3 linked regions of the Kluyveromyces lactis genome follow. The protein of the gene in region 2 binds, or shares a complex with, the protein of the main gene of each other region. Links are inferred from orthologs where the notes say so. Each region holds a gene or a part of one and is shown on either strand. Other genes may lie near its edges.

The links.
Region 1: EAF6 (region 2) and KLLA0_D06831g share a complex: the UniProt entries of both Saccharomyces cerevisiae proteins name them as parts of the nuA3 histone acetyltransferase (HAT) complex. The link is inferred for Kluyveromyces lactis from reciprocal best matches to the Saccharomyces cerevisiae genes EAF6 and TAF14.
Region 3: EAF6 (region 2) and YNG1 share a complex: the UniProt entries of both Saccharomyces cerevisiae proteins name them as parts of the nuA3 histone acetyltransferase (HAT) complex. The link is inferred for Kluyveromyces lactis from reciprocal best matches to the Saccharomyces cerevisiae genes EAF6 and YNG1.

Annotation. Positions count from the first base shown.
Region 1 is NC_006040.1:587,456-590,870, reverse strand, and holds KLLA0_D06831g (uncharacterized protein), read left to right. Parts: upstream 1-1,158; coding exon 1,159-1,167; intron 1,168-1,275; coding exon 1,276-2,037; downstream 2,038-3,415. Other genes in the region: AIM41 (Aim41p), read left to right, coding at 93-650; KLLA0_D06809g (uncharacterized protein), read left to right, coding at 2,596-3,162; STE4 (G protein subunit beta), read right to left, coding at 3,272-3,415. UniProt on the Saccharomyces cerevisiae protein: Functions as a component of the DNA-binding general transcription factor complex TFIID, the RNA polymerase II associated general transcription factor complex TFIIF, and the chromatin-remodeling complex SWI/SNF.
Region 2 is NC_006041.1:567,756-570,802, forward strand, and holds EAF6 (Eaf6p), read left to right. Parts: upstream 1-1,320; coding exon 1,321-1,668; downstream 1,669-3,047. Other genes in the region: ARP7 (Arp7p), read right to left, coding at 1-870; AIM24 (Aim24p), read left to right, coding at 2,404-3,047. UniProt on the Saccharomyces cerevisiae protein: Component of the NuA4 histone acetyltransferase complex which is involved in transcriptional activation of selected genes principally by acetylation of nucleosomal histone H4 and H2A. The NuA4 complex is also involved in DNA repair.
Region 3 is NC_006042.1:1,523,937-1,527,338, forward strand, and holds YNG1 (Yng1p), read right to left. Parts: upstream 2,051-3,402; coding exon 1,379-2,050; downstream 1-1,378. Other genes in the region: RPL3 (60S ribosomal protein uL3), read left to right, coding at 1-1,122; ubiquinol--cytochrome-c reductase catalytic subunit CYT1, read left to right, coding at 2,956-3,402. UniProt on the Saccharomyces cerevisiae protein: Histone-binding component of the NuA3a histone acetyltransferase complex. Targets the NuA3a HAT complex via histone H3K4me3 to facilitate transcription initiation at promoter regions.

The DNA of each region.
Region 1 (3,415 bases), on a different chromosome or scaffold from region 2:
CAAAGAAACGTTACATTTAATAGACCTTCTATAATCTTGATCGTTTGGTTCAATCTTCAAGACAAGCATCCAAATCATTAGCGAATACAAAGATGTTAAGATGTGTTATCCCAAGCGTTCGCGCTACTGCAACGACCAGAACCTTTGTTAGATTTGCCAGTTCTCAAGGCTACATTGATGGGATCGCTGCATTAAAACAAGACTTGAAGAAGGCAATGCTTGCAAAAGACAACCTAAGAAAGACAACCATTAGAGGTGTACTATCTACAATTAAGAACAAGGAAATTGACAGTAAGGATAAGGATCTAGATGAATTTGTATTGTATGATGTGTACGCCAAGTTAATCTCGCAAAGGAAGGACTCCATCGCTGAATTTGTTAAAAATAAGAGAGAAGATTTGGTAGAGAAAGAAGCCAATGAGATAAAGATCCTCGAGAATTATCAGACTGCCTTGCCTGTTGCTTCTAGGGAGGAAGTAGACGCTCGTGTTGTGCAGATTTTAACAGATCTAAAAGAATCAGAGCCATCTATACAATTGAAGCAGGTCTTCGGAAAAATTGACTGGAAAACACTACCAGGCGAATTGAAGGCATCTCCAGCTGCTATCAGGTCCAGTATTAGCTCTCAATTTAAGAAAGTGTTCCAATAAATCACCTAGCTAAAACCAAACTTGTACAGAGTCATTCATTAAAAAAAAAACTCCGATGAATGACGCCCTTGTGATTAAGTAGGCACATCAATCCCGTAAATAAATGTACTTACAATTATGCAATATCAAGCCGCAGCAATGGATTTGACTCACGTGAACAATTCTCTATCTAAAGACTTCTGATAAAGCCATGTTGTTCGCTAGGATGCTTTGCCAGATCACGTGATAAAACATAGTAACCAATACTCTCTGGTAACTACTAAGTGGGGAGAATATGGACATGATAGTCTTTTGCTCTCTCCACAATAGCATAATCGTAACTCTTGCATGCATCTTCAACTGCCTTCCTCCACCTTATTGTAGTACTTCCTCTAAATTTCACCAAACATTGAAAACATGAATTGACTAAATTTCAAATTCAGAGATAAATAATGGCAATTACAAGTACGAAAATATCCAGAAGAGAAACATTAGACGTGCTTATAACCCCCAATCAAATCAACCAACGATGGTGTCGGTATGTAATGATTAAAAAAGACTGAAAAGCTTCTTCAGTTCGTTTTTAGAAGGTTTCTTTTCACAATGAGTTTACTAACAGACCTTTTATTCAATATTTCGGAAACAGACTGTGAAGAGAACGGTCAGAATTAAGACCAAGCAATCTGTCCTACCGGATGTACCACCTCCAGTAGAAAACTTTCCTATGCGTCAATGGACCATTGAATTAGTTCTTTTGGATGAACAAGGAAACGAAATTCCAGCCACGATATTTGATAAGGTAGTGTATCATTTGCATCCAACTTTTGCAAACCCTCATAGAACATTCACGGAACCTCCTTTTAGAATTGAAGAACAAGGCTGGGGTGGCTTTGAATTGTTGATAAGTGCGCATCTTCTTGAGAAAGGGGGCGAGAAGAAGATAACTCACGACCTACATTTCATGAAAGATGCCTATGAAATTGATCATGTAATCCAAGTTCCTACCAATAAGCCTCTTCTAAGAGCAGAACTAGAGAAAAGTGGACCTGTCGATGAAGTAGCATCAACAGCAGCAGCAACTCCAAATGCAACAGCGACAGCTGCCACCACTCCAGGTGACAAGAGAAAAGCATCTACTGTCAATGGTGATGTAAAAACGAAAAAAGCCAAGACCGCCTCCGCTTCAACAGTGAAAGGCTCTGTGAACTTGGAAAAGTTAGCATTTGGCTTAACAAAACTAAACGAGGATACATTGGTTGGAGTAGTACAAATGATAACTGATAACAAAACTCCAGAAATGAATATTACGAACAATATCGAAGAAGGTGAGTTCGTTATTGATTTATATAGCTTGCCTGAAAGTCTATTGAAGAGTTTATGGGAATACGTCAAGAAAAACACCGAGTAACCGGACCTCTCACATGTTTATCTAATTTAACCATTACAATTATGTAGTTGTATTTTATAACTTACATCTCCACTAACAGGCACTGCTTGCAGAAAAAGTACCAAATGAACACTATAATGAATAGACAAATCAAGCCTAGGGAAAATTGCACTGAAATATTTGATTGAATTCGCCCTTGGACTTGACTTTAATTATTGTCGACCTCCTACCGATGAGCTTATCTCTGAAAAAAATAATAGTTTGAATCAAATTCTACATGATAGCATATCACAATACTCCATTATGTTTTACTATTGTTGTAGCACAACGGTCCGCAAGCCGTCGATAGAAAACTGTATTGGCATCAAGTCAACACTTAACATAATGGAAAAAGATTTTGTAATGGTATGTTTTAATCTAATATTGCCATAACGTTTGTCACTAGCAGCATTGTCACTAACAAGTGGTTGTTTACAAACATATCAGCCTTACGTTCCTCGAACAATAAGAGTCAAAACTCAACAAATTATTTTACCAGATGCTCCTAAAGTCTACGAACTGCCGACAAGGAAATGGAGAATGCAATTATTTATATTAGATGAAGAAGGAAACGAGCAACCGGCCACCTTATTTGATTATGTTACCTATCACCTTCATCCCACATTTGAACGACCACTACGAAAACTCACGGAACCTCCCTTCACCCTAGATGAGCAAGGTTGGGGTGAGTTTGAGCTAAAGATAATAGCAAAGGTCAAATTTTGCTCGACAACTTACACTTTTCATCACGAACTATCCTTCGATAATAATGCGTACAATGTTGATTATGAGGGAAGGTTTCCCTACCATCAAACCAAACTGCGGGAAGAGTTATTAAATTCTGGCAGTGTACCAATTTACAATGAAGATGAAATAAGTTTGGGTCAAGTTACAAACTTACAAAGGGCTATTAATCTTATATCGGTATCTGATGTTGATACTATTCAAAAGGTAATTAATACAATTGTTACATTTCCTCCGGTATCTGAAGAAATTGCTAAGAGACGTCATCAAGAGGATGACATTGTAATATTATTGTCTCAAATTCCGAACCAGCTGCTCAATAAAATTTGCAGGTTGGTGGAGGCTTCCTCAGCTGCATCTTAAAGTTTCACTTACTGCGATGAACAAGAGCCAAACTGAGCGGTTTCAGTAGTATTATAAGGGCTATTTTGCGGCTTTTTTCGATATGCATTACCATTCTCAGTTCATCATTTCACTGATGAACCGGTGTCCAAACTTTTAGGGTCATATCCCATGAGCTAGACACTACTGCCATTCCATCAGGGCTCGTCTTGACGGCATTTATTCTGTTTCGATGACCATCAACTTTGCCAATCATTTCTCCTTTGATAATATC
Region 2 (3,047 bases):
CTCTATGTCATTGACATCTGCCATTTCTACATCTCCGTTTGCATTGTTACTTACGTGTATCACTGGCTTGAACAAGAGTTCTCCAATGGTGTATAGCTGTTTGTTAGTGAAGGTGAGAGTTTTCTTATCGAGTAGGAAATTTTTGGTCAAGTCCATTGGTGACACCATATGTTGGTAATGAGGAGCCACGTCATAATTAGCATCCAATTCAATCGGAGAAACTTGCAGCATGCTATTCTTGAAGTTGGGTAGCCATTCAGTGGCATCCCTCCAGATTTTCGTTGATTTGCCCGAATCCTGCTTCAAATATTGATCGCAGATCTGCCAGTTTAAGAATGCACCACCGATCTTGTTCTCCTTGCGGTATTGTTTGAAAAGAACACCATCAATGACAACGTCCACTTTCACTCCACTGTGGCCAATGTCCACCACAATTCCACTCGATCTTCCCTGACTCAACGTGTTGCAGACAGCCTCATTCAAAAGTTGGACCATTGGAAAACCGTACCCCAACAGTTGTTCCATAAATCTCTTACGACGCGCACTGTTTAAGTCGGAAGGTAAGACAACACATACTGGATAGTCTTCGAACTGTATGCCTAGGCTTTGAAAGATGTACTGCCATTGAGCATCCATCATATCCCAATCATTTGGAAGTCCGTTCTTATCGTACAATTGGTATATTTCAGCGCTCTCATCGTCGCAATGCTCTATCATTTCCCATTTACCGAAAACTTTAACATCCGATCCATCTCTTTTATAGGCCAAATATTGAGATGGTACAATTAACTGCGGCAAATCTTGGTTGCTGAACCCACAAATAACCCTAGTCTGCGAGATCTGTATCACCACACTCTTCATGGTCGGCATCTTGAACTTGCAATAGATATAACGTAATCACTCTATATGCACCAGAACAAAGAGAAGATCTTCAATTTTCAAAAGCAGATAAGGATTAACTTCTTCAACAGCTACCTGTTTTTGCCGATTATAACTGCTATCAATGGAAAATTATGGCTCTTAAACGGGATACTAGAGTTGATAACACTGTTTATGTTGATGTTTACATGTTGGCTTTTTTTTCGTCGGTTCTTCGAATTTCAAATTCCAAACTGAGTTCCAGTACTGTTACCCGGACTCGTCGCCAATGTTAATATTGTTTGAAAGAACGCACTACTTCAACATCCAATTTGCATATATAATAACAAGAAAGGATGAAACAGACGATCCGCTATCGAACGGATTTGAATCTGGTTTTGATTGTGTTCTACTCTATCGGTAAAGTGATTTAACATAACCTAACACTCATCTCACACAACTATGGACGAACAAAAGAAAGAATACGAGAAACTAAAGAAGAAGCTTCGAGATGCTTTAGTACAGAAGAAACAACTCGAAGCCAAGTGGAATAGTTTAGAGCAAGAGGTATACGATAAAGAAACAGAGTATCTATCACAGAAACCATCTTCCAGAATGGGGAACATTCTGCTCGGGTTTCAGGGTTTCAACAAGAGCAGTTCTGCGCAGCAGATATTGTCTGACCACTCACATTCGTCAAATGCCCAGCCATTGGACGATAATGATCGCATTTTTTCATTAAGTTCGTACCTTTTTGCAAAACAATTGGCTGCTTCCAATCATCAAGAACAAACGAAGTCCAATGATTGAACAGGAAGCTTATCTGTTTGCCCTCTTCACTGAGACATATCCAGGTCCAGGACACCGGACACAAGAGACAAGAGACAAGAGACAAGAGAAACTAAGGGAGGGGGAAGAAAAACGGTATTATTTTACCCCGCATCTATTTCTCTTGAAGCACTCTTTAAATGCTCGTGATAATTAATCACTTTGTAACATTATGTATTCTCTCTTCCTAAAGTATTTTCAATTACTTACCCTTAATTTTTGAGAGGCCTCTTTTTCTTTTCATCCGTCAGATCAACGATCATAGAATCAGTTTAATCAATAAAACTTGCGTCAAACTACTCGTAGAAGCAAAGGATTGAATCGTTTACAGATTTCCAGTCCAACCGAATTGTCCCAATGTCTTAGATGAGACTCAGGTGCTATGTAATGGTGTATGTATGTGTGGTTAGCATGAATTCTAACCTCCATTCTTGATTGTTAATTGGAGTATCACTCAGCCAATCAATTTTCAGAAACTGCCAAAACCTTGAAATTTTCAGCTTCAAAGAATTAGATATTATTATAACAAAAGATAGAGCAGCAATTACACATTCAAACAAACCAATGAGAACAAAGACAGAATCGTGAATTGCTGTCGATTAGGAGCGTTTGAAAAGGTACCCAATTGTTGATCGTTTAATCGGATTAGACATCAATTGAAGCAAATAACTGTTTTTGTCTCTCTTAGTGAGAAAAAGTAGCGAAAAAAGAAAAAATATGTGGAGGCGTTCTATCTCGATTTTAAGGCCGTCACCAACAACAGTGATTCCATCCAATGTGTTGAGCGGATCACAATTAGAATTGAAACCATTGTTTGATAACCATGCTGAAACCACTAGAGAGGATGGATCTAATGTTACTACTACACAATTCCAACTATTGGGGGACAACCCGACATTAGCCTCGATACAAGTTTCACCTTCGATCCCATTATATGTGAGGCACAACTCTATCGTATCGATACACGATTCCGATAGATTATCCAACGTTAATGTTTCTTATAATAAATGGTTCACGTTTTGGCCTACTCTTTCGTTAAGCAGATTTGATAAACTTGTGGGAACCAACACCTTCAACTGTTTGGTATCATCTCGTAAGTCTTCAGATACGCTATCTGTATTACAGTTAAACGGTACACAGGATTGGATAGTATTGAACCCAAAGAGCGTAGTATCTTTTGAAGGGAATTCTTCGCTCTCCATCCAATGGTTCCACAAATGGTTAAACTATTTCAGATGGATATCGAATAAGGTGACGGTTCTCAGGAGCTACGGGAAACTGTCGGGACGTGGTAACGTTTTGTTAAATGGGAATGGATCTGTCTATAAACTAGAGTTAAAATCAGAAGATGATCAAATTAT
Region 3 (3,402 bases), on a different chromosome or scaffold from region 2:
GGTTTCTTGCCAAGAAAGAGAGCTGCCTCTGTTAGAGGTAGAGTTAAGTCTTTCCCAAAGGACGACCAAACTAAGCCAGTTGCTTTGACCTCTTTCTTGGGTTACAAGGCTGGTATGTCCACTATCGTTAGAGACTTGGACAGACCAGGTTCCAAGTTCCACAAGCGTGAAGTTGTTGAAGCTGTTACCGTTGTTGACACCCCACCAATCGTTGTTGTCGGTGTTGTTGGTTACGTTGAAACCCCAAGAGGTTTGAGATCCTTGACCACCGTCTGGGCTGAACATTTGTCCGACGAAGTCAAGAGAAGATTCTACAAGAACTGGTACAAGTCCAAGAAGAAGGCTTTCACCAAGTACTCTGCTAAGTACGCTGAAAACGGTGCCCAAGTCGACAGAGAATTGGCCAGAATCAAGAAGTACGCTTCTGTTGTTAGAGTCTTGGTCCACACCCAAGTCAGAAAGACTCCATTGTCTCAAAAGAAGGCTCATTTGGCTGAAATCCAATTGAACGGTGGTTCTGTCTCTGACAAGGTTGACTGGGCTAAGGAACACTTCGAAAAGACCGTTGCCGTTGACTCTGTCTTCGAACAAAACGAAATGATCGATGTCGTTGCCGTTACCAAGGGTCACGGTTTCGAAGGTGTTACCCACAGATGGGGTACCAAGAAGCTTCCAAGAAAGACCCACAGAGGTTTGAGAAAGGTTGCTTGTATCGGTGCTTGGCATCCAGCCCACGTTATGTGGTCCGTTGCTAGAGCTGGTCAAAGAGGTTACCACCACAGAACCTCTATTAACCACAAGGTCTACAGAGTTGGTAAGGGTGACGACGAAGCTAACGCCGCTACCGAATTCGACAGAACCAAGAAGACCATCACCCCAATGGGTGGTTTCGTCCACTACGGTGCTATCAACAATGATTTCGTTATCTTGAAGGGTTCTATCCCAGGTACCAGAAAGAGAGTTGTTACTTTAAGAAAGTCCTTGTACACCAACACCTCCAGAAAGGCCTTGGAAGAAGTTACCTTGAAGTGGATCGACACTGCTTCTAAGTTCGGTAAGGGTAGATTCCAAACCCCAGCTGAAAAGCACGCTTTCTTGGGTACTTTGAAGAAGGACTTATAAACTCCTCAACTCTAATAGAGTCGAATTGAGTAAAAAGCTTTGCATGCTGTAATTTTATAGACTAGTTTTGGAGTACTCAAGAAAGTGTTTACACTTTCTTTCACTATCCCATCGGCTGGTTCATAATATTTCCTGTTGTTTTGACAACTATCTTTAAATATGAAAATATTAGCATTTGAATAAATAATAATTACACGCGCTTCCTTCTTGCAAGTTATTTTTCTGGAGAAGCACTGAAGAGCCTCCGCGGTCTTCATCAACGCTTTCTTCTCTTGCTCTTTTTCCGATGATTGGAGTACTGTTTCCTACACATGTCACTACAAAACCATTTCTCATTGGGTTTGGGTGCGGCTGATAATCCTACACAGGGGTAATGGAACCATTCGATGGCACAAGATTCATTATCACAAGCAACCATGGGTCCATACGACACATCTCTACAGAAACAGTACGTCTCTGTCTCTGGCTTGTGCGTCTTATCATGATTCACATGTTCTTGCTGAATCAGTTTCTGTTCCCTTTCTGCCTCTGGGTACCTTGATTTCATAGTGATCTTAATCTTGATCGGTTTGTGATGAGGCAAAGGTTTCAATTTCGGTTGTTTCTTCAAGTGACTATCGTACCTTGCCTTAATCTGAGAGAATCGCTCCAATTCTTGTTTTTCAAAATTGAGCCGTGAATGTTCTTGCCGTACTAACTCTAAGAGATGTTGCGCTTGTCGCAGCATCTCTTCTGAATGACATCCATCTCTATTAGTATCACCTATATCCAATGATTGTATAGTCCAGAGGGTGCGAATCACATCGCATGGTAAATGGTCCAGTGTACTGAGAAACCCGTACCTAACATCTTCCATTGTTCTTGAGCTGTTTCCTTCTAGCCGATTAACTAAGACCAGAATGGTCAATTCTATTCTAGGCGTTAGCATGTACTTACTCTTTCTTGAATGGCTTTTGCCATATGGATATGAATGGAAAGACGTTTTACGTTTTCCCAGAAGGAAAACATTCACGTGACAAGTCCCAGTCACGTGAATGACATTGATGTTTTTGGGATATGGAGTTCTGACCAATCACATCGAAGAACGTGCCGTCTTCTCATAAACCTCCGCACATATGGATATTTTCCCGTACTTAGTGACTTTTCGTCGGGAATATCGCCCTTAACACGCATCCTCCAGTGCGCTTAGGATAGAAAACCTTCAGAAAAACATCGCTTTCGAAAAATAAAAAAAAATACTTTAAACATAATCAATCACAAACAATTATCATTGGATTGGACAGAAAACTTAGCAGAGAAATGCTCACAGACAGCGAAAGGGAAAAAAAAAAACGGCTTGAAAATTTTGGGAATCGATTTTTTCTCTATGTAAAAAGCGATATAATGAAAAATATCTACAAAAATATAGTATATAATTCTTTTCAAACTAGAGAAAACTTTTTGGAAACGATATACATAGATTATTTATATATACGTTTAGTTGGTTATAGTATTAACCAGGGATTTAGTTTGCGCTGATCGATCAATCAATTCAACGGATTTGATTTAATATTTATTTTTGAAAAGAACGGAATAAAAGAAGCCTGCGTCTTTTAAATTTTTGTCCTTTACCTAACTGTCTATTTGTTCGTCTTTCTGGTACAGATATTAAGAAAAGAATAATAATACATTCTCAGGATATTATCCATTGTCTGTGTGATACGAATATAAATTCAAGAATATCAGCTTTGATTCATACAAATAGTTGTTAGAATATCAAAATTCGGGACATTTTTATCTTTTAGAAGAGAATTCAATTAATAGGAAACTAAAGTGATATCATAATAATAAACGATGTTCAGATCATTTTCTACTGCCGCTAAACAGGCCGTAAAAGGTACTTATGTTCAAAGAGCCATTGTTGGTGGTGCTGCTGTTGTCGGTATTGGTGCTTCAACAATGTTGTATGCTGATTCCTTGACTGCTGACGCTATGACAGCTGCTGAGCATGGTTTGCATGCCCCAGGTTACGGTTGGTCTCACAACGGTCCATTGGAAACTTTCGACCATTCTTCTATCAGACGTGGTTACCAAGTTTACCGTGAAGTTTGTGCTGCATGCCATTCTTTGGACCGTGTTGCATGGAGAACCATGGTTGGTGTTTCTCACACTAACGCCGAAGTCAGAGCCATGGCTGAAGAGTTCGAATACGATGACGAACCAGATGACCAAGGTAACCCAAAGAAGAGACCTGGTAAATTGGCTGATTATGTCCCAGGTCCATATCCAAACGAACAAGCT